Rattus norvegicus: one gene and its partners. The protein of the gene in region 5 binds, or shares a complex with, the protein of the main gene of each other region. Links are inferred from orthologs where the notes say so. Each region holds a gene or a part of one and is shown on either strand. Other genes may lie near its edges.

Region 1 (4,345 bases), on a different chromosome or scaffold from region 5:
TAGGGGGGAAACCATTTTTCTCCTTTCTTTTTTTAAATATTTATTTATTTATTTATTATGTATACAGCATGCCTGCATGTAGGACTGCAAGCCAGAAGATCTCAGTATAGATGGTGTGAGCCACCATGTAGTTGCTGGGAATTGAACTCAGGACCTCTGGAAGAGCAGACAGTGCTCTTAAACTCTGAGCCATCTCTCCAGCCCTATTCTTTCCTTTCTTTACCTCTAGAATTACAGTTTGGGGGAAGTCAGTGACTCAGTTTCTCCATCTGCTACCAGGTAATACTTAGCATATAACTCACTGGATTCTTAAGATGATCAAAGATTTTTATGAACTGTTTTTGTAGATGAGGAAACGGGCATGGAGAAGTTTGATAGTTTGAGATAATGGACCCGGGGAAAGGTGGGCTAGGAATCAACCCCTGGGAAATACGGCTGTAAGCCCACTAGCAGTGCAGAGCCAATGTCCACATGAATTTCTTTGAAGGGAGAGAGGTGGGGGAAAGCCTTGAATTATGCCTGGTGGAAACTGGTAGCTTTTAAGTCTTCATTCTGCTGTAGTGAATGAAGTTTTCAGAATTGTACTGTCTAAAGGTGGCCAGCAGTTTTTCTAAAGAGATCTGAGGTCTGAGCCTAAAGGACATTTGGCTGGGGCCCTTCCAGGAAGTCCCAGTAAGATGACTCTCAGTATTTAGATAGTAAATGACAGCCTAAAGTGGACAGCCCTTGCCATCAGAGCTTGTCTTAGCCATTAGAAATTGAACCCGGGGCTGCTGGAGTCCCAGGATGCTCACAGTTCAGCTAGGGAAATGCACAAAGCAAGATGGACAAGAGACCCCAATGAGGGGAGATGTGGGGAGTTACTGGTCCAAATAACGACCCAAACAAAAAGCTGGGAGGCCAAATTTCGTCTCTCTGGGCTCGGTGTGGTGATCTGGAAGACCTTTACAATAACGGAGTAACAAGTTTAACCCAAGAGGAGAGGTTTAAGTTTGGTGAGAGGAATGTTGGGATTTTGAGCTGGGTCCCTCTGAGGCCGCGGAAGAAGCAAGAGTTGCAAAGGAAAAGATGCAAACCTAGTCAAAGGGAGCATGGGGCCTCTGGGGACAGTCTAAGCAATGACAATTTGGGCGGGAAGTTTCTCCCATTCAGTTCTTTCAGTCTTTGCTATGTGTGTTCCTGGGGGACTATCTAAGATCCACACAGAGCCGGTCCCCGCGCCTCATTGAATCCCAAGGTAGGTGTATCTGGACGTAGTAGATTCCCAACCGCAGCTGGAGCATCTGCCGGCTTGACTAGCACTTTCGGTATCAGCCCTCCGGTAAACTACTCCCCTCCTCCCCTCCATGGGCTCCGCCCCTCCCAGGCTCCTCCTAGGGCCCTGGCGCGCCGGCTCCGCCTCTCGTCTCTAGTACGCCTGGCCCCTTCCGTGAGCTCCGCCCCCGCGAGCTCCGCCCCCGCGCTCGCGCGCCAGGGCCGGGCGGCGCCGACGCACTTGGCGGGAGATAGGAAAGTGGTTCAGTGCGCTCCCTAGGCAGCTGCAGTTCCTGGGAACGTGCGACAAGACCTGCAGACACGCTGACGCCTCAGAGCACCGCCTGGGGCCCGGAGCGGCCGGTGCAGCCTGAGTCCTGACCCCGGCCCGGCTCCCGCTCCGGGCTCGGCCGGCGGGCGTAAGGGCGCGGCGGGGTCCGGGCCGGGGGGATGTCTCGGCGGACGCGCTGGTGAGAGGCTGCGGGCGCGCTGGGGTTTTCGCCCTTCTCCTTGGGTCAGCAAGCGTGAGATGGGGATCCCGGGAGAAATGCACCCCGCGCCGCCGGGTGCAGGGGCGCGCGCCACGTTAGAAGCTCTAGGGACCCCTCGATCGGTTCCCGGGCCTCCTGGGCCCGGGAGCCTGAAAGCGCGGGTTCCCCCTCTAGACCCGGTCCCGGCCCTGGGTGAGGTCCATCGTCTCCCGCCTAATTGCTGGGTGGGGAAGGAAAGCTGTTGCCCGCGGTGTCAGCTGGAGGCCCATTACTGGGTAGGGAGAATGTCTCCCCTTGTCGCAGCGAGTGGAAGGCAGAAGTCTGGGAGACACTTGTCGTTCAAGAGTGGCTCGACTTTGCTGGCGTTCTTTTCTTGTTAGCATTCCGGGAAGCACAAAGCCCCTGGGCCCTCCGCGGGATGTGAGGCTGGGGACTCGTTGTCTCTTTGGGGATTCGGCGGCCGGTTCGGTTTGGTTTCAGAATTCCTCTTCCTGTCCCACGCTAGTTTTGGGCAACCGGGGATGAGTAAAGACTAATGGTGTGCAACGAGACTGGTCTGTCAGCAACCGCTGGGCCAAAGGCAGGAACTACGTTTCCCTCCTAGTTCCCTAGAGGTTCGGTGGCTGAGTCAAGTCTGGACCTTTGGTACATCTGTGTATCTGGGGCCTAATCGCGGGGCTTTCTAAGGAGTGGGATAATAGGGTTCCGCTGTGTTCTCTTTGGGACTCTCCAATTGAGAACACCTTACTCGAGTCTTCAGATGGCCGAATCAAGCTTCGGTTGAGGATAAGGAACAGAGATGCCTGCTTGCTTACTTTCAGAGTTCCTCGGGCCTGGGGCGGGTATTGGTTGGGTCCGTGGGCGCTGATCAGTGTGGTTCCCCATGCCCCAGTTTCTAGGGCAGTTCAGTGCCCAGGAAGAGCGTCTGGAAGTACTACTCCGAGAGCGCCGGGGTTTACTGGAGGGACCCTTTTGTGAAGCACGGGCTCAGTGTCCCTGCATCCTCACGTAGCCTTTCTCTGCCACATGGTGTAACTCCCTGTACCCCAGTGGCCCATTTCCCTCTTGGCCTCTGACTCACCTTTCCCTGGAGCATAGCCCAGAACGTACAAGGGCATGAGAAATGGTATGTGTATATACAAAAATGTGACTTTTCTTTAAACAGCACACAGGCCTCTGCTTTTTCATGCTATGGTTACCAGGGAGGTTAGGGTGTAAAAGTGTGGAGTTTGATGTGGCATAATCTTTGTTGGCCTCACTTTTCACATCTGTTAAATGGAGCCCTTGAGAATGCCAGAATGCATGTGAATGATGGATACTCCCATCTGTTTAATAGTGTGACCCTGCCGGGTGGCCACACACACCTTTAATTCCAGCACTCAGACAGGCGAATCTGAGTTCGAGGAGCAGCATGGTTGGTTTACAGATGGAGTTCCAGACTACATAGAGAAGCTGTGTCTCAAAGAACCGCCCCCCCCCCCCCCCCCAAAATAGTGTCACCATTACAGGGCCCTGAGGCTTCAGAGCTCTGCTACACAGATTTTTTTTTTTTTCCTGCGACATTGGCCAAGCTCTAATAGAATCAGGGCCTTGTGCTGGGTTTTGGAGAAGCAGACTCAATTGTTAGGACTTTAGAGTGGTAGGCAGTGCATGGGTCGGGTCAGACATGACTGAACAAAACTGCGTTGCTAGGTCTAGGAACGTCTTTTCATTTTGGTTAGGGTTTCTAGAATTGTTTAGTAGGCGGTATCTTTGCAAGGATTCATTCATTCACAAATCCACTCCTTCCCTGGGCAAATATTTCTTTAGGCCTTTTCTGTGCCAAATTCCAGGATGTGAATGAAGGTGGAGCTGACCTTTGTGGGTGATGTCAAGACCCGAGGTTGGAACTGAGGGCAGGGCCTGGCTTTCCAAAGTGCTTTGGGTGTGTAGGGGTGACTGGAGAGGCTGTGAGGAGTGTGAGGGAAGAAAGGGGAGGGGTGTGCAGACACCAGCAGCACACTTTGGGGCACAAAGTGTGGCCTGTCTTGCTTGTTTGGAAACCTCCTCTTTTCCCAGTTACATGACTGACTTCACCTTTAGTGTTTGTTAGAGGTGACCCAGTGCAGGCCCCGGGGAAGGATTAAACGAGTTCTGGGAATAACTGGTTGTTTTCCTTTCTTCTTTAGTTATGTACTTGTGTGTGGCTATGTGCACTTGGGTGTAGGTGCCCACAGAGGCCAGAGTCCCTGGATCCTTGTAGAGGTGGGAATTGTGGGAAAGGGGGTTAGAGGTTAAATTTGGATCCTTGTCAAGAGCTGTGTGTTCCTCGACAGAGACAGCTCTCTAGTCCCTAACGAGCATTCCTAGAACTTCATAGTATGATCTCCTTTCTCAAAACCATTAAACTAGGTAATAGGACAGCAGTCAAAAGGCTCCATGTCAGCCAGGCCGTAGTAGACCCTGCCTTTAGGTAATCCCAGCAGGGAGACAGAGGCAGGCAGATCTCTTGAGTCTGCCGAATGAGTTCCAGGATAGCTAGGGCTACACAGAGAAACTGTCTTGAGAAACAAATAAAAACAAACAAACAAAAAAGAACAAAAACTTCCATGTTCGTTCTT
Region 2 (2,815 bases), on a different chromosome or scaffold from region 5:
AGAATTGGTTCTCTCCTTTCATATTTCTGGGATTTGAACTCAGGTCAGGTTTGTCCATGAGTGTCTTAATTCACGAGGATCTCACTTGCCTGAATATGCCCTTTCTAACAAGGAAGCTTTGACTATATAGGCAGCATTAGTAGGGTAGTTTATCCCAGATTGGACAGTGTCTGATGGATCCTGGCAACCCCATGAGTCTCCCTCCTCCAGGACATGTGCTCTATCTTTAATGATGTTTTCTAGTGCTTCTTGGTAACTAGTGGTGACTAAGTCTCCTTGGATTTGGCTACCAGCACTGTGGTCATCCTGGTCATAGGATCTAGCCTATGGCAGGTGTAGGGTCTATTTCCTGACTCTGTGTTTGGGTTTGGGGATGTGGTTGCAGTGAGTGGTAGCCCTGGAACTGAGAACAAGGGCAGTGGTGAACTCAGTTCACTCCCACTGGGCCTGACAGCACTGGACACTCGACCTCTGCAGTCCTCTGCACTACTGGATAGTAGCAGCAGCAGCAGCAGCAGTAGCAGCAGCAGCAGCAGCAGCAGCAGTTCATCTGGACCCAACCCTTCTACCTCCTTTGAGCCCATCAAGGCAGACCCCACAGGCGGTGAGTACTTACTGAGGGGTGGGGGCCAGCAAGGAGAGTCTTGGAGCTGGCAGTTCCTTTCCTGCTAACCTCTGCTCTCTGCCAGCCAGACAAGGATGCCTAATCTCCAGGTCAGTGCCTGTGCCTCTTGCCCGTTTCTGGGACTTCATCCCCCCTCCTGCCACCACTTGGAGCATCACTAAGCCTCACTAATTGAGATTTGCTGCTCTTCGTACTCACCTCACCATTCTGTTTTCCTTTCTACGTATGAATGCCTTTAAAAAGTAATCCTTGGTCACCCGTGTCTGTCAGCTAATCCTCCACCACAGGGCTGTAGCTGTGCTGTTCTTGGTGTAGTACCTGGCCCAGCAGGTTTCTAAGAGTCTAGGCCTGGTGCTTTCTTGGTCTCTTCTGATGCTCTTTCCTCTGTCTTCACTGTCAGCTCTTGGCTTTTCTGCCTCACTGGCATCTGATACTTCCTTAAACATTGGTACTTACCATTTTATATCTGGGGTGGGCCTCAGCTCTAGGGAGCTGATTTTGAGTTTCGGCCTCTACATAGTCTAGATCTTTTACCCAGTCTCCTATACACCTGCCATAGACGACTTGCATATCTGGTGGACACCTCAACTGAACTTAACCATCCTGCTTCCAGTTTGCCTTTCAAGTTCTTTGTGGACTCTTATCAGCTAGCTCTAATCACCAACAGGCTTGAGATACCTCTGTATCATCCCAGTTCTGCTACCCACCTTACATGGGTTAGGTAAAGTTTGTGAAGTCTGTATGGGATTAAAAGATGCGTGCCACAGCCAGCTCTCTATATTTTGACCATTTACAAAATGACCCTCTTTGCCCTCCTAGTACCTTCTCATCCCTCTTACATCTTCAGCACACCAAAAACTATACACCATTTTAATTTTAGATTTATAGTAATCTTTTAGAACATTTTATCTATATCTTATTTATCTACTGGTAATTTCAGATATCTATACAATGTGGGGGTGTTTTTTTTTTTGTTTTTGTTTTTTGTTTTGTCCTTTTTAAGACCGGGTTTCTATGTAGCTGTCCCAGAACTTACTCTGTAGACGAGGCTGGCCTCTGCCTCCTGCCGTGTGGGATTAAAGAATGTATGCCACAATCAGCTCTTTTTGACCATTTACAAAATGACCCCCTTTGCCCTCCTAGTACCTTCTCTTCCATTTTCATGTTCTCTTCATTCTAATTAGCACTCCATGTATGCACAGATCCAAAGAAAAGTGACTGCCTCTTTTCCAGCTAGTTGGATGGCTTGGTCTTGTATAGATACCATAGATGCTTGTGAGTTCACAGTACAATGGCCATGTTGTATCCAAAAGACAGTATTTCACAACACTCTTCCCATCCTATGGTTTGTACAATTTTTTTTTCTATGTTGTCATTTAAATCAAAGAACCAAAACAAACAGCCAAGTTTGCCACCTCCCCATCTATAATGGCTGCGTCAAAACACTGTAAAAAGGAAACAGATTGGAATGTCTGGTGAGTTCTGACTCAGGAAGCAGAACATCAGAATGGCCTGTTGTGAGACTTTACTTATGCTTCCTCAACAAACTGGCCTCTTGGTGATCTCTCTTCTTCAGTTCTACCCATGACTGCCATAGTAGGAGGCCTGGGATCAGAACCCACAGGCCACTGTACAATATTTCTGTATACCCTCTTTAGTTATATTTCCTGAACCTTGGGCTGAGCACTCAACCTAATCTCAGCAGTTTATCAGGAATTTCTGCATTGACTCCTGCCATTTTCTCTAAGCAACATGTAAGCATGAAAATTTAGGAGGCAGTTTGATAAGCATATTAATTAGCAAGGCAACAGTACTAAGTTCTCCCCTAGGATCAACGATCTCTCTAGCTATGGACTTTTGCAAGGTTTACAGTATCAGGCATGAATTATACCTGTGGGGCTGATCTCAAAGCCAAGTAAAGGGGTTGGTTACCCTCCTAAGTTATGCCACTATTGCACCAGAAGGCACATCTTCCCTGGTGGGTTGGTTTATTCCATGCAGGGGCTATTGCCTGTTAAACCCACTAACCCATCCTTTTTATTCTCACAAATGGAATGATCTTTCAGCAATGCAATCCTGATTGGTATTTCTCAGTGTGTAAATGTAGCTGGGGATACAGCTCAGTGGTATGAGAGCATGTCACCAGCAACAACAAAAAGTACTGGGGATGGAGAGATTATGCATTCTTCC
Region 3 (4,561 bases), on a different chromosome or scaffold from region 5:
CCAAATGCACGCACACATTTCTGCAGTAGAACTCCTAAAAACCTGATGAACAGACATAAAATTTTATATAAAAGTGCAACAGGAGACATTCCTAGGCTGGATGAATAAAAGACATCGTTGCTTAATGCTGGATTAAGAATCTTGCCGGGAATAGAGCAAATCTTGTGTCAGATTCTAAGTCCGTGCTACGATGCAAACACATGGGAAAGGCTATAATCAAAGCCGGGACCACAGGCCTGAGGCTTCTGTAGCTCTACAACTTCCCTTGGGCTGGCTTCTTTCTGTGCGGTTAAAATCGTAGCCTAGAAGAGTGGAGGGTGTGTTGGCACTTGAGAACTGACTCTGGGAACGTGTCTTCCTAGGGTCTCATCTTCTACCACCTGTTTGGGGAATGTTTAGTAGCGTTAGCAAAACAATAACGCCCTTATTTATCTCGAAAGTTTAACTTCGCTGAGAAAGTTTAACTTGGCCCAGAGCTTGGGAAAAAAACACTAAGGGCCAGAATAGTTGGTAAACGCTAGCAAATGGCTGCCTTTGATGTGAAAAGCCAGGGTACATGTCTAGAGATTCAAAGTTTCTTCTCTGACCCTTGTTCCATGTTCCTACCCCCTCTTACCTCACATAGAGGCTGGATGGGGGAAGGGACGCTCCTGGCAAAGGAAAGTATTCTATAAACAGTAACCAAAAGGAGTTTCTGGGGCCCAGAGGTGGCTGGCACAGAGGTGAAAGGGAGTCCGTGGGAGGAACCAATGAGAGAAAGCAAGCCCGCGGGTGATAGCAAAGACTGAGCTGGACTGAAGGTGGGTGGGTCAGAGCTAGAAAAGGAAAGGATCAGGAGTAAAAGTGGGGTGGGCCAGGCGTGACCGTCCGGGGCTGGATTCCCGGGCCAGGCAATACGGAGTGACAGCTCAAACACACGGGTCTGGTGGAACACAAGGGTCTGCAAAGAAGGGTCTGGGCCAAGAAATCTGTCCAGCAGAAGCATGGTTTAGAGACCGGGCGGAAAGGACCCATTTCTAACGTCATGGTCCCTCGTCGCCACCCTCACTCGCCTGCAGGATCCGGGACCGCACTGCTGCTGCTGCCGCCACTGCCGCCGCCATGGCTCACCAGACTCTGCCCAGCTCCCCGCGCCTCCGCTGCCAGTGCCTCCCTAGAAGCTACAGCGCTAAGCTACGCCCCGAACACAACCTAGCCTCTCCATTGGAGGGAAGGGGCACTTTTCATAACCAATCATGTGTCAGGATTCTTGACTCCACCCATCACTCCCAGCCTTGGGGATAGGTGATTGGTCAAAGGCGGAAGCGTTTTCCTCTTCTCTGACTTCAGCCTATTTTTGTTGGCGGAGATAGGGAGACGCCCCCTAGACTTGGTACTGCATATTAAGCACACGGGGAAGACGCCCCCTAACCGAGAACTCCGATTGGCTATAGGTAGGCCCTCAAGGTCCCGCCCCTTTGCTAAGGAAAGTAAATAAAGTCCTTGAAGAATTTTGCCTGAGTTTCACCTTAACTACCACTCGCGGGTAGGGCTGCTGTCTAGGGTGGGACTAGGCAAATATTACCCTATGAGATAGGGAAACGAGACCGGGCTGTGAGTTAAGGATAGGTTACCCCTGTAAGGGGCGTGGCTTGCGGATCCTCGCTTTCCCGCCGACGGTTGGCCACGTCACGTGACATGGGCTGGAAGATGGCGTCTCCCACAGACGGTAAGAGCCGGCTTGGAAATTGTTGGCCTGTAGTCTCATTATTTGCTCCTCTGGGAACTTCCACAGCCTTCACGCTTACGCTTTTTTTCTTGGGCCCCTCTTCCTTCTCTCCCACTTCTCTTCTTTGGGCTGTGTCGGCTTTTCAGCTAGCAGGTGCCTGGTACCAGGTCTCCCCGCTGTGTACTAGGTAGGTGAAGGAGGCCACCAACCGGTGAGACCCTATCCGGGAAAAGGACAGAGGTCGCTCCGGCCCATCGGTGATGCTGAGGGGAAAGGGAGGGAACTTTCTTTTTGAACAGGCCCATTGGAGTGTTGGTTCTGTTCTCAGTAGAGCTGAGACGAGTCTCTCAAGCTCTATAGCTTTGAGTGGTGACTGACATGAGGTCTAGGGTTCATCCCTGTACCAAGCCGGGAGAGAAGGATGCTTGTCCCCTCAGTTCAGGACCGTTGCCTTGGCAGCAGGGAACCGGGGACCTGGTTTCCTTACCCTGATTCCCGAGGGAATGAAAATTAGCCTTGTTAATGTAGTTTCGCACGCTTCTCAACCCTTAAACCATCACTCCCTCTACTTCATGTGTTGTTTCCTTAGACTGAGGGCAGGAACAATTCTGCTTGTATTTCGTCTCAGGTGGTAAATAGGTGTTTTCGTTATACCCGTATGCTTTTGCTCGCGGTTCTGCTTTAGCATTTGGAATTCTCTTCTGTCATTACTCAGTATCTCAGTATATTCCTTGTCTATTAACTTTGCCCGGGCCACACCCAATTATAAATTCCAAGTCTGTCTTATTTCATACGTTTAATCCTAGGTTCTAGAATAATGCCTGTAAAGCATTTGGCCATAAATAAGTTAACGTTCATCCAAAAGTGAAACTGGCCTTGGTATGTGACCCCTAATTTTAGCTACTTGGTAGATTGAGGCAGGAGGATTGTTGCTTCAGGCTTGTCTAGGCTGCAGAATGAATTGTAGGCAAAATGTGTCTCAAATACAAAGTTGGGGTTTAGTTGGCAGTTGTTGGGTTTTGTTTTATTTTATTTTTTAACCCTAGACAAGGTTTCTCTGTGTAGTCCTGGCACTTGCTCTTTATACAAAGCTGGCCTCGAACTCAGAGCTCCTCCTATCTCTGCCTCCCAAATGCTAGAGTTAAAGGCACAAACCACCACCACCCACCTTCAAATAAAAAGTTTTCTTTTAAAAAGTAAGGGAAGAGTGGCTGGAGAGATGGCTCAGCGGTTAAGAGCACTGACTGCTCTTTCAGAGGTCCTGAGTTCAATTTCCAGTAACCACATGGTGGCTCCCAACCATCTGTAATGAAATCTGGTGCCCTCTTCTGGTGTGCGGGGGTACATGCAGGCAGAACAGTGTATAGGTAATAAATCTTTTTAAAAATGTGAGGATACAGGGGGCTGGAGAGATAGCTCTCAGTGGTTAAGAGTACCTGGTGCTTTTGCAAAAGACCTGGATTCTTTTTTTTTTTTTTAAGGTTTATTTATCTAATGTATATGAGTACTTTATACACCGTAGCTGTCCTCAGACACACCAGAAGAGGGCTCCCATTACAGATGGTTGTGAGCCACCATGTAGTTGCTGGGAATTGAACTCAGGACCTCTGGAAGAGCAGCCAGTGCTCTAAACCACTGAGCTATATCTCTCTAGCCCCAAGACCTGGATTCTATTCCCAGTATCTACATGGCAACTCACAACTGTGACTCTGACCTCCATGGACATCAGGTATGCATGTGCTCCACATATATACTGTGCAGACAAACAGTCATACACATAAATAAATCTAAAAATGAAAAATAAAAAGTAGGGATGTAGTTCAGTGGTAGAGAGCTTGCTTATCATGAACAAGGCAATAGGTTCAGTCTTTAGTACTAAAAAGCATGACTAGATTATATTAAAAATAATGTTACCAGATCTCCCTCCTTTCTTCCTTCTTTCCTTTTTTGAGATAGGGTCTGACTGTATGGCCCAGATTGGCTTCAGACTCACCATCTTCTTGCTTTCCTACCTGTGCTTCCAGTATGCTGGGATTAAAAGTGTACCACTCGGTAGGGCACTTGCCTAGCAAGCGCAAGGCCCTGGGTTCGGTCCCCAGCTCTGAAAAAAAGAAAAAAAAGAAAAAAAAATGTACCACTATGCCTGGCCTCTTACTTGATTTCGAAGTTTCAGGTTTAACTGCATTTTAAGTTTTGAACACATTCACATACCTTAAGGAACTGTGTTCATAATAAAAGAGATTCTCTAGCATGTGTGATTTTTTTTTTCCCCCTAAAACATCCTTTTCTTACTAGCAAAAAAAAAAGTGTTGGTAGGATTTTTGTCGGTTTTTTTTGTTTTGTTTTGTTTTGTTTTTTTTAAATTGAGGTTCATCTTGGTGTCTGTGGAGGTCTACTGAGAACAAGACTTCTAAAAGGTAGGGTCTGGAAGGATGTGGTGCAAGGCCAGTTTTGCTAGATGTGTGAGGTCTCTAGAATCAAAGAGAGCATATAGCTCTTCTTCAAATCCAGGGTGGTTTTATCTGAGATGATACTAAATTCGACTAAGGCAGGAGATGTGCTTATGTGTATAAAAAGTTCACACAGTGACTCCCAGAGGCAAAACTAAACAAGCAGAGTAATCTGGGGAGAAGTAAGTGGGGCCTGTAGAAATGGTGGCAGCCATTGTGTAAATGCCAGTGGATGCAGAATTTATGGAATGCTAGACCCTACACAAATCTAAACTAACGAAAAGTAAACAATTCAAAGAACTGAGGTTTGTGACATTGCAATTTCTTGAGATGGAGAGGGTTGGGAAAGTGGGGTTTGAACAGCAGTATTAAGGGGTTTTCCCTACATGTAAATGGACAGACA
Region 4 (3,867 bases), on a different chromosome or scaffold from region 5:
CTTGGCTAATATCAAACATGACAGAAAATAAGAGGAAACATTTATCTTTTTAAAAGGCCAGATTACCCTAGGAGCAAAATCAGACAAAGCTGTGCAATAAAATTCCAATCAGCAGCATGTGAATAATCACAAAATTCCTCAACAAACAAGTAAACCAAACGTGCAATCCAAAATTGTTGCCATAAGCCAAGAGATTTGCAAAGGTGATCTGACGTGAAATCCAACTAATGTAGTATACGATGTCATTAGCATAGCAAACCCCACAATGAATACAGAAAAGGGCCTTTAATAATATCCAACACCTTTTTATCAAACAACAATAAGTAAAATCCTTCACCGGGTGAGAGCGGCCTACCTGAGGTCACTCACAGGTGGGGTGGAGAGAGATCTAATGCCATATTCCGATAGGGAAAGACTAGTTAATTATTTTCTCTGTAAGGCCAGGAAGCATACAAGGATTTCTGCTTTTTACATTGCACTGGATGTTCTAACCATGGCAATTAAGAAAGACAGGGAATTTGGACAAGTAATAGTATAATTATTAAGACCGCATTATCTGCCCATCAAAACAGTTGACACAAAATATGCTTAGAACCCAGTAAGAGTTTCAGGACTAGAGACAGCTGAGTGTAGAGTGCTTGTCTTGCATTTTAACAGCCCTAGGTTCAATCCCTGCACCACAAAAAACAACCAACTTAGCAAGGTTGTTGGATACTAAGTCAAGGCCCAGAATCCAACTGTTTTCTGAACTCTTGGAATGAGTACATCAAAAACGAAACAGCTACATGTACAATACCATCAAAACCTACAGGAAAAACAACAAGGGGGAGACTACGTGTTGAAAGTATGGGTCATTGTTAAAAACTGAAGACCTAAACAAATGTGAGAACACACCACGTTCCTGAAGGAAGACTGACCCCTACATGACTGAATTCTCCAAACTGATCTACAGATTTTCACGTGACTTTTATGACAGTGACAACTTGATTCTAAAACTTTTATGGAATTCCAAGGGACTCAGAATAACTAAAATAATCAAAAATAAAATAAAATTAGGACTCGTATTTTCCAGTTTCAAAATTTATAGAAAAGCAAGAGTCATTGAGAGTGTAAAGGTCTACGTATGATGGACAAAGATCAACATAGTCAAATAGACGGTCTTGACATAACCCATGTGTCCACTACATGACATAACCATGTGTCTGCTAACACAAACATGCCAAAACCATTCATTCAGTGGGGAGATGGGGCTTAAATAGTGGTGTGGTGGCCAGAAAGCAACACAAAAAGAGTGAAGCTGGACTTGGATCTCATACCACATCTAACGATGAGTCAGGAACTCTGGAATGCAGACTCTTCTAGAATCTTCTAGACAAGGTAAAGCCTCACGATACTGGATCTCAAATTTGGCAATGAATTCTCAGGGCAAAAACTCCCTCCCCCTCCAAACATATAGTAAATCTTTTTTAAGTACTAATGGGAAACTAGAGGAATTAAGAACTTTATATATTAAATAGGGATATAAACATGTGAACCATACTCTGAGAAGTAGCCTGGCAGTTCCTTTGTGTTTAAACATACAGTTCCCATATGATCCACAGATCCATTTCTAGGCATTTACTCTGAGGGAAACGGAAGCCTGTGTCTACACAAATTTCACCCACAATGTATACAACAGTGCTGTTCACAACTGTGAGGAACAACCCACATGTCTATTAATTGATGGATAAAAATTACTGCCCAATGTCTATAAGCTGGATTGTTCTAAAGCTCTGCTGACAGCACATATTTGGGATATGAGACTCGGTGAGTGGTTATCTAAAAATGTTCTAGGGAACAAAGGGGCATCATTGGCTTTCCAGTACTAAAAATAGTACTTACCTTTGCCATCACGTAAATGGCACACATTAACAACTGGTCCAGATGTCTGTCCATCATAAGTTCAGGACACTGGACTATAGAGAATTCAAAGCAGGTCCAAATTTTTTTCCTCAGTTCATCTGAAATATCTAGTTTTGTGCAAAGGTCTCGAAGGCGGACACCAGCTAAGTAGTAAACCTAACAGAGAGATAAGAATATTTCAAACCGGGGTTGGGGATTTAGCTCAGTGGTAGAGCGCTTGCATAGCAAGCACAAGGCCCTGGGTTTGGTCCTCAGCTCCGGAAAAAAAACAAAAAAAACAAAAACAAAAACAAAAAGAATATTTCAAACCTTGTTTAATGCTTACACTTCCTGAGCCTGTGCTCCAGTAAGGGTACATGAAAGGTTACCTTTCTAAAGAAAAGTGATAAGGAGCTAGTCTTCCGAGGCCTGATACTGCTGCTGGTTAACGGCTGGCCTTGGTTCTGCTGTTGTCCTCCAGGGGAAATTTGTTGAATGGCCACCGGACCGGGGACTTGCAAAGTTGTTCCTGTCACCTGTTGGGAACTCAGACTTCCAGCCAGCGCTTGAGCACTGAGGGGCTGGATAGAGCCAGTCACAGCCTGTGCCTGGCCCCCAACATTCACTTGGACTGGGAAGAATGTTATCCCTCCATTTTCGTTGGCAATACCTGCGGTTTATTACAAAGAAGAAAGAATGGTCGACATGAAGGTTTTATTTCCCCCCGCCCCCCGTCTTCCATCATTATCTTACATTGACACTTCCCAAACTTAGGTGACTTTCTGACAAATGCCAGAGAACTCAACCCCTAACCCTGCCTTCCTTACCTTGTACTGGAATGGTCACTGTTTGTCCATTGTTGGCTGTGACAGTGGCTGTTGCCATGGTGACCAAGGTCTGTCCAGGAACTGGTGTGACAGAAACAGTCTCCCCAGATACATTCTGCACAGGGACAGCATTGACTAGGGGTTGTGGGGGGATGCGCCCAGCCGTGCTTCCTTCAGAGGGACTGTCACTCTCAAATAGCCGCCTTCTAGTAGTACTGACTGTTGGGGAACTGTACCTGTCATACAATGTGGTTGGAGATGTCACACCTACGATCAAAAGAAATCAGACTATTTAACAAAGAGACAGTTCTGACTTCTAGCTAAGCTCTTGTTCAAAAGAAATTCAGTGTGTTTCAAATACTTCATAATTTTAAAAGCAAATAAAAAGTACAGAAGTCATGGTACACCCATATTCATCCTAGCAGGAATGTAACTGAAAGCGTTTCATGAAGGAAATGCTATGTCCCACAGTGCTCTCTTTCTGGTTTTCTTCCCATAAATGAAGCGAGGCCCTGTCCTCAACCGCCTTGTCCCTTGCTGACTTTGATGAAGAGGCCGGTTAAGGAATCACTTACTTTCCCCCATACTCAAGTCTTTTTTTTTTTTTTTTTGGTTCTTTTTTTTTTTTTTTTTTTGGAGCTGGGGACCGAACCCAGGGCCTTGTGCTTCCTAGGCTAGCGCTCTGCCACTGAGCCAAATCCCCAACCCCTCCATACTCAAGTCTTAACAAAGATGTTACCTAGCAGGAGACAGGATGACCTGCCTGCCATCCTGCGTCCTGTGGTTTCTCCTCAGCCTTCAGTGAATGTTCAGCCTTTTTCCGCAAGGGAAGATGACCAACCCCATATTCTTCAGCAAGATAGACATGTATGGTTTAGATTTAAAACTTAGTTTTAAACAGCTTTATTGAGACATGACTCATGTACCATACATTTCACCCAATGGCTTATATATTTTTAAATTGTTGCAAAATATAAAAAAAAAACATTATCACCATTAGCCATTTTTAAATGCATACATACAGCATCGTATAACTATTACCATTCTTTCTTAAACATTTGTCTTTTGAGACAAGGCCTCTCTTTGTAGCTCTGGGTATCCCAGAACTCACTATTTAGCAAAAGCTGGCCTCAGACACACAAAGATACACTTGCCTCTG
Region 5 (3,867 bases):
TCCGTCCTCCTGCAGCAACAACTGCAGGTCAAGTGGGCTGAGAGAGTAGACATCCTGATGTTCTACAATGGAAGCCGTAACATTACACTCAAAGACCAAGAAGAGAGTGAGGACAAGACAAGGTTGCCTAGACAGGGAGAGATGCTAGGAAAAGAAACAACACCCAAGAGATTCTCCAGCAGACACAGACGTGAACAGGAGGACTGGAGCCGAGCACAGGTATTGCTAGCCACATGGTGAGACATAATGCCAGGGTTAATGGGAGTAAACTAGATGGCTGGCTGAGACAGCCTTGAGTTCAAGGCTGGCTAGGCTATATAGAAAGACTCTGCAGACAAAACAGAAGAAGAGCGTTCTCTGTATAAATCTTATTAGTGAACACACACAAACGCACAGGAGCGTGCACACGCTGTCAGTCTGCCTGAGATAATTAGTGAACACACACAAACGCACAGGAGCGTGCACACGCTGTCAGTCTGCCTGAGATAATTAGTGAACACACACAAACGCACAGGAGCGTGCACACGCTGTCAGTCTGCCTGAGATAATTAGTGAACACACACAAACGCACAGGAGCGTGCACACGCTGTCAGTCTGCCTGAGATAATGAAACTGCACAGTTTCGAATGCTCCTTATCTTTCTTTCTTTCTTTTTTTCTTTTTTATTTTTTTTCGGAGTTGGGACCAAACCCAGGGCCTTGCGCTTGCTAGGCAAGTGCTCTAGCACTGAGCCAAGTCCCCAACCCCATTCCTTATCTTTCTATGATTCAGCCCCAGTGCTTGAAGTGCATGAGACGAGACACTGAGTCCTCTGTCACAGAAGGCACTGCCTATATGAACTACTACTTTGTATCTGGATGCCACCTGTAATAAGCTGTACGTCACATTTATATATTAGAGAGCAAACATTCGATGTTGGTTTATTTATAAATAGCTACAAATCAAGGAGGAAGTTGACAACAAAAGATAGTGTATTTCCAGACTCATATGGTGGCATCTAAAAAAAAAAAAATGATGTGACGTTTAAAATATACCTGGTTTCTGTGTTTTTCTACATTGGCACAATGACATTTGTAAGTCTTAGGGAAGTAAATTAGATACTTGCCACTTTAGAATGAAAACAAATGGTGTAAAGTTTTCAAATACTTAGAATAAAACGCAGTTAGGCTCAGATCCACTGATGGTACGCTTAGCACCCCTGACATCCTCTCCAGTCCTCAATGGTACCCAGCGGAGCCCCTTCCCCACAAAGTTACTTCAGCATTGACATCACAACTCACTGTAGCTGTTTATTATTACCCAAGTACTAGCTGAAGAGTAACTAACCACATCCTACCCTACACTAAAAACTTGTATTTATATCCATACGGGCCATAAAAGTCACCAATGACTACTCTGTTGCCAAGTGTTTAAGGCGAAATCTTCACTCGCCAAAACTCCTTGCTTGTGGCTGAAGGCAGAAGTCAGTGGTAGAGCTCCTGTCAAACCCCAGTACCAAACGGTGGAGGGATCCTGGACCTGCCTGCCTAGGACCACACTGGGGAGGCAGAGGCACGAGGATTTTAAGATTTTTTAGGTCCTGGGCCACCCAAGGCTACATAGTAGACTCAGTCCTAAACAAGCAAAAGGAATCTGATTAGAAAATCAATCCTGTATCCACTGAGAACCTATTGTCTGCTTGGGGATATGTGAAAATCAAAATCCTTGAAGTTACTTGTAAGACCACAGAAGTATTAACCACAATTTGGCATTTGGGGCTCATTTTCTTCTTTTACCTTATTTGGTGACTTCAAAGGTGAGATGGCTATCTTATTTGGTGTCTGTGTTGTAGAATTTAAAGTTGAGCCAATAACACCACTTTCTGATATTGTTATAGTCTTGGATGGAGTTCCAGGAGCAGACTGTGAAAGAACCCTGCCTGCAAATGAGAGGGAATACATCAGCTGATCAGTTACAGTACTAGTTAAAAACTTACACACAGAGCGATGATGTCTAGGTATGAGGGTCTTAGTTAGAGACATTGATGAGGCCCTAATGAACAACAGGAAGAAACAACATAAAACTTCTTAATAATGTCTGATTACTTAACAGTGCCCCTGAACCACAGTTAAGCCATCAGAGAGAGAGCTTGGGGCAACTCAGCAGAGAGAGAGAAAGCTTGGGGCAACTCAGGACTTGGGTCCCAAGTCATCTTTGTCTCTGTACCGGGACAACAGCTATCTTCCTATCTGAACTAAAATCATGAAGGGCAAAATTAAAACCCACAGTTCTGCAGGGAAGACAGCGTGGTTGGCAGAGTGCTTGCCTAGCATGCAGGGAACCAGGAGAACCTCATAAACGAGGTAAGATGGGACACCACTAGGGAGTAGAGACCTGAGGATCCAAGGACTTTCTCAGTAGCAGAGGAGTCAGCCAGGAATATGTAAGATGTAACTCAAAAAACAAAACCGAAAATCATACAGACACTTACAAAACAGCTATTAGGGCCAGAGAGATGGCTCAGGGGTTAAGAGCACATGCCATTCTTACAGAAAACCAGAGTCAGATCCCATGACCCACATCAGGAGGCTGCAACCCCTTGTAACTTTACCTCCAGGGGGTCTGATACCCTCTTCTGGACTCTGACACAAACAGATAACAGTATACAAACAATCAATATAATTTCAAACATTTAAAAACTATTTAAAAGTACTTTTTAAATGTTTCTTTAGGGGGCTGGAGGGATGGCTCATTGGTAAGAGCACTGACTGCTCTTCCAGAGGTCCTGAGTTCAAATCCCAGCAACCACATGGTGGCTCACAACCATCTGTAAAAAGATCTGATGCCCTTTTCTGGTGTGTCTGAAGACAGCTACAGTGTACTCACATGAAAGAAAAAGAAAGAAAGAAAGAAAGAAAGAAAGAAAGAAAGAAAGAAAGGAGGGACGGAGGGAGGGAGGGAGGGAGGGAAGAAGGGAGGGAGGGAGGGAGGGAAGACAGAGACAGAAATCAATCAATCCAGGGGTTTTGTTGTTGTTAAGGAATCTGCTGGATTTTCCTCCAGGGACCATCTGATTTCCTCCTCCTTACTATTTGTCATTTAGTGTGTTCTCAGGGTCTGGCTGCTTGCAGGCCAGGTGCACATAGAAACTAGAAGACAGCCTGGAGAAGTCAGGTCTCTCCTACTCTGTAAACTTAATACTGACAGGTCAAAGCCAAGAAATGAAACCAAGCAAAGAATATTTTAAGCAAGGATGTGCCAAGACCAAATCTATACTTTAGAGAATCAAGGTATACCTTGGTAAATCCATCCTCAATGAGAAAGCCCCAATTTAAAAAACAATCTTAACATATTTTGAAAAAGCATCAGCTGCACTAGGGAGCCTGTATCAGAGGACCACTGTGAGTTCAAAGCCAGCCTGGGCTATAGAATGGGCACCAGGCTAGTTAGGGCTATAGAGCAAGATCCTGACTCCCACCCTCCTCTGCAAACTAACACATTGAACATTTTGTCTGCAATTTCAAGGCAAAGCTGGGACTAACTTGCAACATGCTATAAATGATCAAGGACTGAAGAACAGCACCCGAGACAGCTTTGGATGTTGTTGTTTGATATTAATGTAAATTGCTACCAGAGTCTGAGACACAGACAACCTTTCTACTAACTGAACTATGTTCCTAACAGAGCCTTTGAAATCTAAATATCTGAAATGATATAGTTACTGCTAATGGTACACTTTAAAGTATATAATAAAAAGGAACTGGGTAACATTGAGGACATTAAAGAGTCTGGTAAACGTACTATAGCTTAAACTCTGTTATTATCTGATAACAATTACTTGATAACATGACAATTTCCCATTCATAAAGAATTTCTGTATAGCCAGAG
Region 6 (4,619 bases), on a different chromosome or scaffold from region 5:
ATTTACTTTCAACTTTTAAAAAGGTAGTTTGGTTGTACAAAGCTGATTATAACCTAAGCATATCATAGTTTTGCTCCCTGTTAGAATAAAAGTGGAATAATGTATACCCATTTGAAGACTAGGAGGAGCATTCTATCATCTAGCCCTGGGGAAGCTGAGGTAGATCATGAAGTAAGTCCAGTGAGTTCGAGGTCAGACTGGGGTAACATAACAACACCTGTCTCAAAATATTAATATCTAAATTAGTCTCTCTGTAGAAGTTACTATGGAACCCAGAAAATAATTTAGAAGCGCTTTTCCTTCCCAAAATCTATCTTGAGAAAAAGGAAGTTCTTTTAAAAAAGAGAGCGTGTGTCTACCTGATTGTAACGAATTGCAAGCTCATCTTGATTTGTATCTGCACCTGTATCTGTCTCTGATTTGCAAAAGACGATGCGTACAGTTTCAAAATAGCAAAAATGTCAGTTTGTTATAATATTAATCTGTGGTTCAGCATTCTATGCAGTAGAGCATGGTGCCTTGCAAATTTGGGCTCCTCGTCGTGTCTAATCATTACTGTAGTTAATAATCTCCTTGCTTGCTTCTTTAACCGTGTAATTCCAATTGTTAAGAGAAGTTGCAACTGTAAGAAGCTCCTTCCCCTACGCAAGATTCCAGTTATCCCAGCATTGAGGCGCACCTCCCCGACTCTGGGCTCCTCCGCCACGCAGAGCATCCCGCCCCCTTTGTAGATGGAGTACGAGGTTGAGCTTCTTGAGCACTACCAACCCATTCCCGTTCCACGCAAGCCTCTAGATAACAACGTCACCCTTGTCACACTGTTATTCATCTTTGGGGAAAACAAGGGACTTGGCCAATTTCCTTGTCATTTCTGCGTAGAACTAACTCACACATGCTTAAAAAAATAACGGCCTTGGCTAGAAGGTTAAGTAGAAGACCGCGCCCCTAAGTGGCGAGGCTCACGGCGCGCGAACCAGCACCCGCGAGGTCTTCCCCTGCCCAGAACCCGGACTGTCCCCGCCCCAGAGGCACGCTCCACACTCCTCCCGAGGTGGCAGCGGCTGGGTCGGCCCGGCTCTTCTTCCGGCTCACTCCCCGGAGCGCAGAAACTCGCCTTCCCAGCAACCTCCGCGCGCCCCACTGCCGTGCGGCTGGCTCACACAGCGTTCCGGGTCCTGTCACCTCGGCCCGTGAACCGGCCTCGCGCCTTCGCCTCCCCACCCCCTGGCTCCGCGGCGCTCCCGGACTCCCGCGAGTTCCAGTCCTGGCTTCTAGCCCCGCCGACCCCGCCCTCCGCCGCGCGCGCGCTCGCCGCCCCGCCCCCGCCCCCCTGCGCGCGGCCGCCCCAGCCAATGAGGTTCGGGGCCGCGTGCGCAGATTCAAACGGCGGCTCTTGAGGGAGGCTGGGCGCGAGATTCGGCGGTGCGGACAAAACCCTGCAGGAGGCTGCGAGTGCTGCAGAGCTGCTCGCTGCGGGGAGAGGGCGGGGGTCGGCGCCCGTGACGGAGCCGCGCAGGGCCGGCAGCTCCAAGGCGGAGGCGGAGGCGGCGGGAGGGGCGGGCGGAGGGCGGGAGCACGGCTCCTGACATGTCCAGGGCATCCCTGGCCGGGCCGGGCCGCGGCTAGGAGCAGCGGGTCTTGGTCCGCCCCTCTGTCCCTCAGTCCCGCCTGGCCCTGACCTGTCGGGGCCTGCGTTCCGCTCTCTCGGCCACCTGAGGGAAGGAGCGGGGTAAGCGGCGGGTGGGTCTCGGAGAGGGCGCACTCGCCCCAGGCTGGAGGAGGCTGACCCGCGTCCCCGCCCAGCCCGCGCCTATGCGGTACTTGAAGGATGGCGAAGAGGTCGCGCAGGTGGGTGCCATCCCCTCGGCCCCGGCCTAGCGGCCCTGTCTCGGCTCTTGCTCTCTGTCCTTTCCTGCTGGTCCCCATTCAGGCCCTCTCGGGCCTGGGCATAGGTTTTTCTATTCGGTGTCCCACACCCGATTCGGCCGCGCTGGCCGGAGCGCATCCATCATTATTAGACTCCATCATTATTAGACTGCTGTATGGAGGACTCTAACAAATGCTCAGGTTGCTGCTTTGACGGACTCTCCCACAGCTCACGCCCAGACTCCTAACTTCTCACAGCCACTTACAGGGAGGTTTCTTGCCAAGTAAGTTTGTGCACTGCCAGGGGATATGCCACGCCAGGGGAAGTAGTTGTGTTTGCCTGGATGATTTGAAGTGGGGTTTTCTCCTCTGACTTACGGTGCCAAATCAAAATCCTCCTTTGGATCTCCATGACAAACAAACCTGGGCGGACATTTCTGTGAAATCTTGAGAAGGGAACCTGTTAAATCTCCCATGTACACACTGCTGTTCTGAGATTTTTTCCCCCTTATTATCTTATGAGGACATTGTTACGTTGTTACCATCGAGTAAACTTGATCCTAAACCAATGTGTTTGAGTTACTTTGTATCTCAAGTATTCATGTTTGATTCTGATTGTATCTGTGTTGTATTAAGTAGGACACAATGTTATTGTTGTTGTTGAAAGATTTGCTTTTGTTGAAAGATGTGTATGCACCTAACTTTTATTTTATGCTATTCTAATAGCTACTCCTAAATTGTGTAGCATAATCGGATGACAAAAATCTACTGTCTGGATTTTCAGTTTTCTCAGTAATAAGGAAACCTGAAAAGCATTTGGCAGAATTTCCAAATACTTTCATTTATCTAGAAACATAGCCTCAAAATCTTAAGAGTTTTATTTCCTGAGCTGAAATTTAGTACTGGGAGTCATCCAATGCAGATTTTGATTTAAAATAACTATGCATAGAATACATGGCTTTATTAATTTATTAAGCATCTTCTGTATGTAGGTTGGTTCTGCAGCTATCAACATAAATTTAGTTATGACATAATTACTTTATGTGTAGTGGCTGCAGAATAGATTGAACATTGAAGTGGAAAAAGTGTGCATGTGTGCACACAGGCACCCTATCTTGGTCCTGTTATCATTTTGGATTAGGTAGTTGTAGGGTTTTTTAGCAGCACCTTTGTCTCTACTCAGTAGAAGACAGTAGCCCTTTTTCCTACAGTCGGGACAACCAAAACTGTCTACAGACGGTGGCACATATCTTTGGGGGGATGGAAACAGGACCACACAGGTAAGAAACTGCTGATCTACACACAACTTCAAAGACCTAACATTCCCATCTTCAGAAAACATGCACATTTAAAAATAAGATTGCTGGAATACTGCTTTAGGCTTTTGGAATTTTGAAGTCTAACAATGCTTTTAAATGTTGCAAAGTAACAAGTGAATGCACAGTTAGCTACTTAGAATCATTGTTCATCTCACTTGAAACTTGGCTAATGCTGTCATCATCATTTAGTTAAAAGCTATTGCTAGAGACTGATATATGAATGTCAGATTCTCTCAGGTTTTGTTTTTTTTGCCTTTTCATGTCACAGTTGATCTTGTTTCCTAATAGTAGGCTAAGAAATGATTTAACAATTGCTTATAGTAAGTTATTTTATTAACAGTACTGTGAGTTTGACTGCTAAACATTAATTATACTGTTGACTTTTATTTCTTGCCAGATGTGTAAGTTAATTGAGGTAATATAGAATGGTGTAAAAAGTTACATGTCTAGAATATTGTGCTGCAGGGAAACTACATTTCTATGGGAGTGTATAGATAGAGGGTGTGGGGAGAGATCACCATTTCTGGTCTGTTTTTTTGGGTTCTCTTCAGTGAGTTCCATGTGCTGTTAAACTTCTTGTATATTTAAATATGATTCACGTATTAGAAGATAATAGAATGTGAAATGTTTGAGGGTGAAATACCTTATTAAATGGGCTCTCTTTGAGAGTCTTAGTGTATACAAGTTCAATATATAATAGAGAAACAAAGATCTCAGCGTACAAACACTAATGTGGATGCAATGTTTTGCATAAGGATATAGGCACAAATATAGTAGACCTTTTTTCTATTATCTGAGAAAAAACAAAACATCCTAAGAGCAGAAAATGCTTACCCTAAATAGGAAACAACTGACGATGTTGGTTCTTTTTAGTTTTTTAATAGCTGTAGAGTTTGTCACTAAGATTTGCATGTAGAAAAAGGTTATATAGTATTGTGACTTAAAATAGTTTTAGAATTTAATAGGGGTTTTAATAAATGATACAATTTACAGCTAATTCCTATATTAAGATATCTATTAATACCATGAATTTGATTTTTAAATATTTTATGTAAAAATAGGTATAGTGTTATTTCATACTTAAACTTTTAAAAAATCTTTTTCTGGTATGTGTGTGCTCATTCATGAATGCATGTGTGCCTGCATACATGCAGTTTTACCAGGGTATGAAAGCTGAAAGGACAGTTATCTGGAATTAGTTCTCTCCTGCCACGGTTGTCCTGAGGATCAAACCCAGGTTAACAGGCTTGGCAGCAAACACCTGCTGAGTCATCTTTCCTGCCCTAGTTTAGTTTTTAAAGGCCAATTAAACCCTTAAAAAATAAGTTCACAATCATTCTGATGCTGCAAAGCTTACTTAACTAGGTACAGGTTAAGATATTTGTACTTAAGATGATCAATAATTAAATTAAATCGATAAGATGAAAACTAGGT
Region 7 (4,453 bases), on a different chromosome or scaffold from region 5:
TACCCGATAAGGCTGGCCCGCTCCGCTCCCTGGAATTCTTCCAGTGGCCGGGACCCACGTCTTCACGTCTCTGCCCCTTCATAGCCTTCTTCAGTCCTGGCACTTTACCTTCTCTAAGTGTCTTCCCATTTCTGTCTGTCGCCCCACCACCTGTGTGCTGCTGCTCTGGACCTGTTTGCTCCCCAGAACTCTTCAGACTCCCCCTTGCTGCTGTCACTGCTCTGCTGATGCTCTGTGGTTTATCTCTTCATATTACCAGTCTAGCTTGTAAACCGTCACCTGAGAGGAGTTCCTATTGGATGAAAGACTCTCCCAGCTTACTGAAAAAGTTAGCCAAATAGCTTGTTTATATAGTCAGAAATGGGGTGTGGCAAGGATGTTTGCACCAATCACAGCCTTTCTGCTCAGCCATTACAGATGCTTCCCCCTCCACCCCACCCCCACCCCCTCCCATCCTGGGTGAAGATGGTTACTAGAGCTTACTAAAGCTTGTGATGGTAAGAGGTCTGGTGCAAGCTATTGAGATACTCATGCCTTGGGTATTGCCTTCTGGAACGGTAGCTGTGCTTTAGCAATAAGCTGCTGTGGTTACAGTGTTGCTTCCTCAAAGCAGCTGAGGAAGAGTTCTAAACAGGACAGCAGCTTGAGGACTGTTCAGTCAAATGCTAACTCGTCTGACCAAGGAAGCTAGGTAATAGAGAAAGATCTGTTTGGGAGTCAAATTTGGCTTCTCCACCCCTCAGAATAAAATTTGGTCGCTCACATTAACAGTTGTCTGATAGTACTGAACAGCGCTCTGGTCTTTAGTCCCATATGCTTGGGAAAAGTTGGGTCATTTTATCTGAACCACTTGGACTGATTTGCAAGCCACAGTCTATTCTTCTCCCAGGCTCTCCAGCTTTAGTCTTACACATACATACACACACACACACACACACACACACACACACACACACACACACCTGTCTTTCAGGCTGCTCCCTCTGACTGCCCAAGTTCAGGCCCTGTGGCTGTGGAGGTCAATAGTTGAGCAGAGGTGGGGGATCTTGTCTCTGCATTGTCCAATATGCATCCTAACAGCCTTTACTTTGTTCTGTATAAATGTACAAGACTCCTCCCCCTGTGGTGCACATGCAGGTACTTTAAAGCACGCTCAGAACTGGTCATTTTTTTCCCTTGTGTGTACACACTCACCTATTCTTTTCAGTGTGCAGGCATTAAACATAGGTATCCATATTTGTATGCACAGAGGGTTCTCTTCTATATATACGTCCAGGCATGCACACACACGACTCATACTCCATGAATACACACGTGTCTGTATAGCGAGACTATGGATATACACAGGTGTGCACACATCATCCTTTCCCTATGTGTACATGCAGGTATGGCACACACCACAGACTTTTCACCGTTGGCGCGCGTGGCACACACACATACACACAGAGGCAGACACGTGGCCCTCTTCTCCCTGCGCATGCACACAGACATGCATACAGTTGGCCCTTGGTGTACACACACAGAGGCGCGCACACACGTGGCCTCTCTCCGAGCGCACATGGAGGCGCGCGCAGCGCTTTTCAGCGTCGGCGGCCGCCACACGCGCACGCGCGCACAGGTCCCTCCCCTATCCCAGGGCGGGTAGCACCGGCGAGAGGCGCGGGAGATGAGCGGCGGGAGGAGGAGGAGGAGGAGGGCGCCGAAGGCGCGAAAAGGCGCGCAGGCGCGCTGCGCGGAGCGGGCCCGCCGCCGCCCACGTCACCGCGCCGCGCGCACGTCACGCCGGCCCGACGCTCGGCCCAGGGTGAGCCCGCGTCCCGGCGCCGCTGGCTCAGGGCAGGGACCGCCAGGGCCGGACCTCCGGGCCGGCGCCCCCGCGCCCCCGTCGTCCGCCCCGCGCGCCCCGCCGGCCAGCCAGGTGTGGCGGGGGCACCGGCCGGTCGCGGCGGGAGGGCGCGGGCTGGGCGCGCGGCCCCGTTCCCGCCCCAGCCCGGTTCCCGCGTCCGGTCGCATCCCGCCCGCCGCCCAGCCTCAGCCCGGAGTCGGCCTCGACGCGGCGTGGCGTGGGCGGCAGGCAGGGGTCCTGGCCACCCTCCGGCTCTGTCCGCGCCAGCGCGCGAGGCTGGTGGCCGGGCCTAGTGACAGGTGGGGCGGCCGGGCGGCCGGGAGCCCACCTGTCAGAGTGGTCGGCGGCACCTCGGGGTCTTGGGCAGCCCCGGGGCCTGCTGCAGCCCGGGCAGAACCACGCAGTGTCGTGTGCCTAAGTGGGGGGCCTTGTGACTCGGTGGGGCCTGTGGTCAGGCGGGGCCCGCGTGCCCAGGTGGGGTGAGCCTGACGGCTGCGCCTCGCTCCGCCAAGGGGCCGGGGTCTGGCCCCTCTGCGGGTGGGAGCTGCTGGTGCCCGCAGGGAGCATTTCCATTTGGAGAGGTGACTTAAAATCCCTGTGTGGGACCTGCTTGGCTAGCTCTCCTGTTGGGATTGTGCAAGAAAGGCCCCTGCTGCCTGGAGGCCTGCCTCGTGCTGGTGGGGAGATGTTTCCTTTGAAATGCGATGTGCGTTAAACTTCTTTTTTTTTCATTCTCATTCATTACTCGTCCCCTTCCTTTTTACCAGATAAGTCCGGTTTCTTCTGTGGAGGGTACGCAGTTAAAGCCTTGATTTCCTGGATCTGGTAACATGGCAAAAGATGTAAGTATGAGTTCTGCATGCTGCAGACATGTTAGCATAGCTCGCTGCAGTTCTCTCCCTTTATTTGAGAGTGGCCATACCTGCGTGGCAGTGGTTTGCTCAGACATTTTACAGGCAGGAGCTGGGATGGAGGTGAGGGGTGGCCAGTCAGTAGGTGGGTGCCTCCCCTCCGCACAAATGTTCTTTGTCATCTGAAGCCTGGCACGTTTTTTTTTTTTTTTTTCTTTGTGGTTAAGATGATGATGTCTGGATTTTTCTTTAATCTATCTAAACCGCTTGAATACAAAATTTGTGTTTGAATGCATCTCCCAGTTGAAATGAACGTGTGAGGGGGGTATTTTGCTAGTGGGTTTCCACGAAGGAGAGCTGTCAGCATGCAACTTACGATGCATTATGCATGAAACTTAACTTGTTTTATGTAGTATGTAAGACCGTAATTCCACTTTGATGGGTTGAATCCCAACTACTTGTTTGGGCACATTTTTCTCTCAGAAAGATGACGTTTGGTGGTTAATGAAACACGGAAACGCTGGTTGGTTAAGCTTCGTATTTACTACAAAGCTACTGAGCATTTGAAATTTCTTTTTTGAAATGGGTACTGACAGTTAGGCTTTTAGGGGGCAAAAATACAGTCTGTGATTTTGGTCACATACATGTTCGCAGTATTACTTTATAACTCCCTCCAACACTGATCGTGCCTGTGCCAGTGTTTCAGCATTCACTGTCCTTTGACTATTAGATGAGTGTAATTTTCTGTGCAGCCCTGAAAATGCAGGCAGATAATACCACATCAGCTAGACTTGTACCCAAGTGCACTGAAACTGTGGCGCAGGTACCGAGTCTTGTCCTGACTTAGAGGCCCAAGGATTTAGTCATGCCTAGTGGCCCACCTGGATCAGACGGTGTCCGTCTTATGGTCATCAAGCACTGGACCTGCTCTTGGGAGTCGAGTTCCACCCTGAGAGACCGTGTGTAGGTCACCTGAAGTCACAGCTGTATGTGGCGTGGGGCTCGATTTCGTTATGTCTGTTGTTTGCCTGCCTCCACGTCCTGACTCTTCCCCCCGTGTGTGCCTAAGGAGAGACGTGCCGCTCAGTGCGTGCCCACAAAGTAGCTAGGTCTGGTAAACGGTGTGTAAGCAGGGCACTGGCTCCCGTGCCTTCGTTGAGACCCCATGGCCTGGTGTGGTTTCGGGGATCATTGCATCTTCTTCAGTGATCTTCAGTGAGTCAGCATGCTCCAAGTCCTGTCACCTCAGTTTTGCATCATGCACTCCTGTGTGCTGTGTCCCTGGGGAAGGGGTGGGTGGGTGGGTAGACACCATGATGGCAAGTGGTCAGGATGTCCTATCCAGTGGAGAGTGTGAGGCCAGCTGGTTTGGGGTTAGCCATTGTGGTATGGTGAGGCCAGTGCTGTGACTGGGTAAGAGCGCTGCTGCTTTGTCCCTCCACAAGTGCGCACAGACCTGGGCAGAGGCGAAGCGGCTCCCCCTGTTCTCTGGCTGGAAGTGGGGGTTGCAGGGTTGGGCCTTCCCTGTGCTTTTTCAGTAGGATGCAGTATTGGGGTTTGGAAAGGGACTTTGTAACCTGTGCTGAAGGGTAGGAAAGAGGCACCACTGGAGCTGTGTAAGCACTTGATGCTTAAGACGAACTCTGGCTGTAAAGTGCACTGTCGACATGGGGCTCGGAAGGCCATGACGCTGGCGAGAACAGAGGGGCAAAAGTCACGCTCTAGGTCTCAGAAAGGGCAGACAGAAGACAAATAG

The links.
Region 1: Lin54 (region 5) and Mybl2 share a complex: the UniProt entries of both Homo sapiens proteins name them as parts of the DREAM complex. The link is inferred for Rattus norvegicus from reciprocal best matches to the Homo sapiens genes LIN54 and MYBL2.
Region 2: Lin54 (region 5) and E2f4 share a complex: the UniProt entries of both Homo sapiens proteins name them as parts of the DREAM complex. The link is inferred for Rattus norvegicus from reciprocal best matches to the Homo sapiens genes LIN54 and E2F4.
Region 3: Lin54 (region 5) and Lin52 share a complex: the UniProt entries of both Homo sapiens proteins name them as parts of the DREAM complex. The link is inferred for Rattus norvegicus from reciprocal best matches to the Homo sapiens genes LIN54 and LIN52.
Region 4: Lin54 (region 5) and Rbl2 share a complex: the UniProt entries of both Homo sapiens proteins name them as parts of the DREAM complex. The link is inferred for Rattus norvegicus from reciprocal best matches to the Homo sapiens genes LIN54 and RBL2.
Region 6: Lin54 (region 5) and Mybl1 share a complex: the UniProt entries of both Homo sapiens proteins name them as parts of the DREAM complex. The link is inferred for Rattus norvegicus from reciprocal best matches to the Homo sapiens genes LIN54 and MYBL1.
Region 7: Lin54 (region 5) and Tfdp1 share a complex: the UniProt entries of both Homo sapiens proteins name them as parts of the DREAM complex. The link is inferred for Rattus norvegicus from reciprocal best matches to the Homo sapiens genes LIN54 and TFDP1.

What each region holds. Positions count from the first base shown.
Region 1 is NC_086021.1:172,123,295-172,127,639, forward strand, and holds the start of Mybl2 (myb-related protein B), read left to right. Parts: upstream 1-1,510; 5' UTR 1,511-1,704; coding exon 1,705-1,724; intron 1,725-4,345. UniProt on the Homo sapiens protein: Transcription factor involved in the regulation of cell survival, proliferation, and differentiation. Transactivates the expression of the CLU gene.
Region 2 is NC_086037.1:50,087,305-50,090,119, forward strand, and holds part of E2f4 (transcription factor E2F4), read left to right. Parts: intron 1-385; coding exon 386-604; intron 605-2,815. UniProt on the Homo sapiens protein: Transcription activator that binds DNA cooperatively with DP proteins through the E2 recognition site, 5'-TTTC[CG]CGC-3' found in the promoter region of a number of genes whose products are involved in cell cycle regulation or in DNA replication.
Region 3 is NC_086024.1:109,828,579-109,833,139, forward strand, and holds the start of Lin52 (protein lin-52 homolog), read left to right. Parts: upstream 1-1,670; 5' UTR 1,671-1,677; coding exon of another isoform or gene 1,678-1,689; coding exon 1,690-1,708; intron 1,709-4,561. Other genes in the region: Aldh6a1 (methylmalonate-semialdehyde/malonate-semialdehyde dehydrogenase [acylating], mitochondrial precursor), read right to left, coding at 1,053-1,103.
Region 4 is NC_086037.1:32,061,756-32,065,622, forward strand, and holds part of Rbl2 (retinoblastoma-like protein 2), read right to left. Parts: intron 2,976-3,867; coding exon 2,709-2,975; intron 2,552-2,708; coding exon 2,271-2,551; intron 2,059-2,270; coding exon 1,882-2,058; intron 1-1,881. UniProt on the Homo sapiens protein: Key regulator of entry into cell division. Directly involved in heterochromatin formation by maintaining overall chromatin structure and, in particular, that of constitutive heterochromatin by stabilizing histone methylation.
Region 5 is NC_086032.1:9,456,767-9,460,633, reverse strand, and holds part of Lin54 (protein lin-54 homolog), read right to left. Parts: intron 1,919-3,867; coding exon 1,776-1,918; intron 1-1,775. UniProt on the Homo sapiens protein: Component of the DREAM complex, a multiprotein complex that can both act as a transcription activator or repressor depending on the context. In G0 phase, the complex binds to more than 800 promoters and is required for repression of E2F target genes.
Region 6 is NC_086023.1:14,364,297-14,368,915, forward strand, and holds the start of Mybl1 (myb-related protein A), read left to right. Parts: upstream 1-1,471; 5' UTR 1,472-1,828; coding exon 1,829-1,848; intron 1,849-3,077; coding exon of another isoform or gene 3,078-3,146; intron 3,147-4,619. UniProt on the Homo sapiens protein: Transcription factor that specifically recognizes the sequence 5'-YAAC[GT]G-3'.
Region 7 is NC_086034.1:82,900,332-82,904,784, reverse strand, and holds the start of Tfdp1 (transcription factor Dp-1), read left to right. Parts: upstream 1-1,618; 5' UTR 1,619-1,804; exon of another isoform or gene 1,805-2,427; intron 2,428-2,613; 5' UTR 2,614-2,676; coding exon 2,677-2,688; intron 2,689-4,453. UniProt on the Homo sapiens protein: Can stimulate E2F-dependent transcription.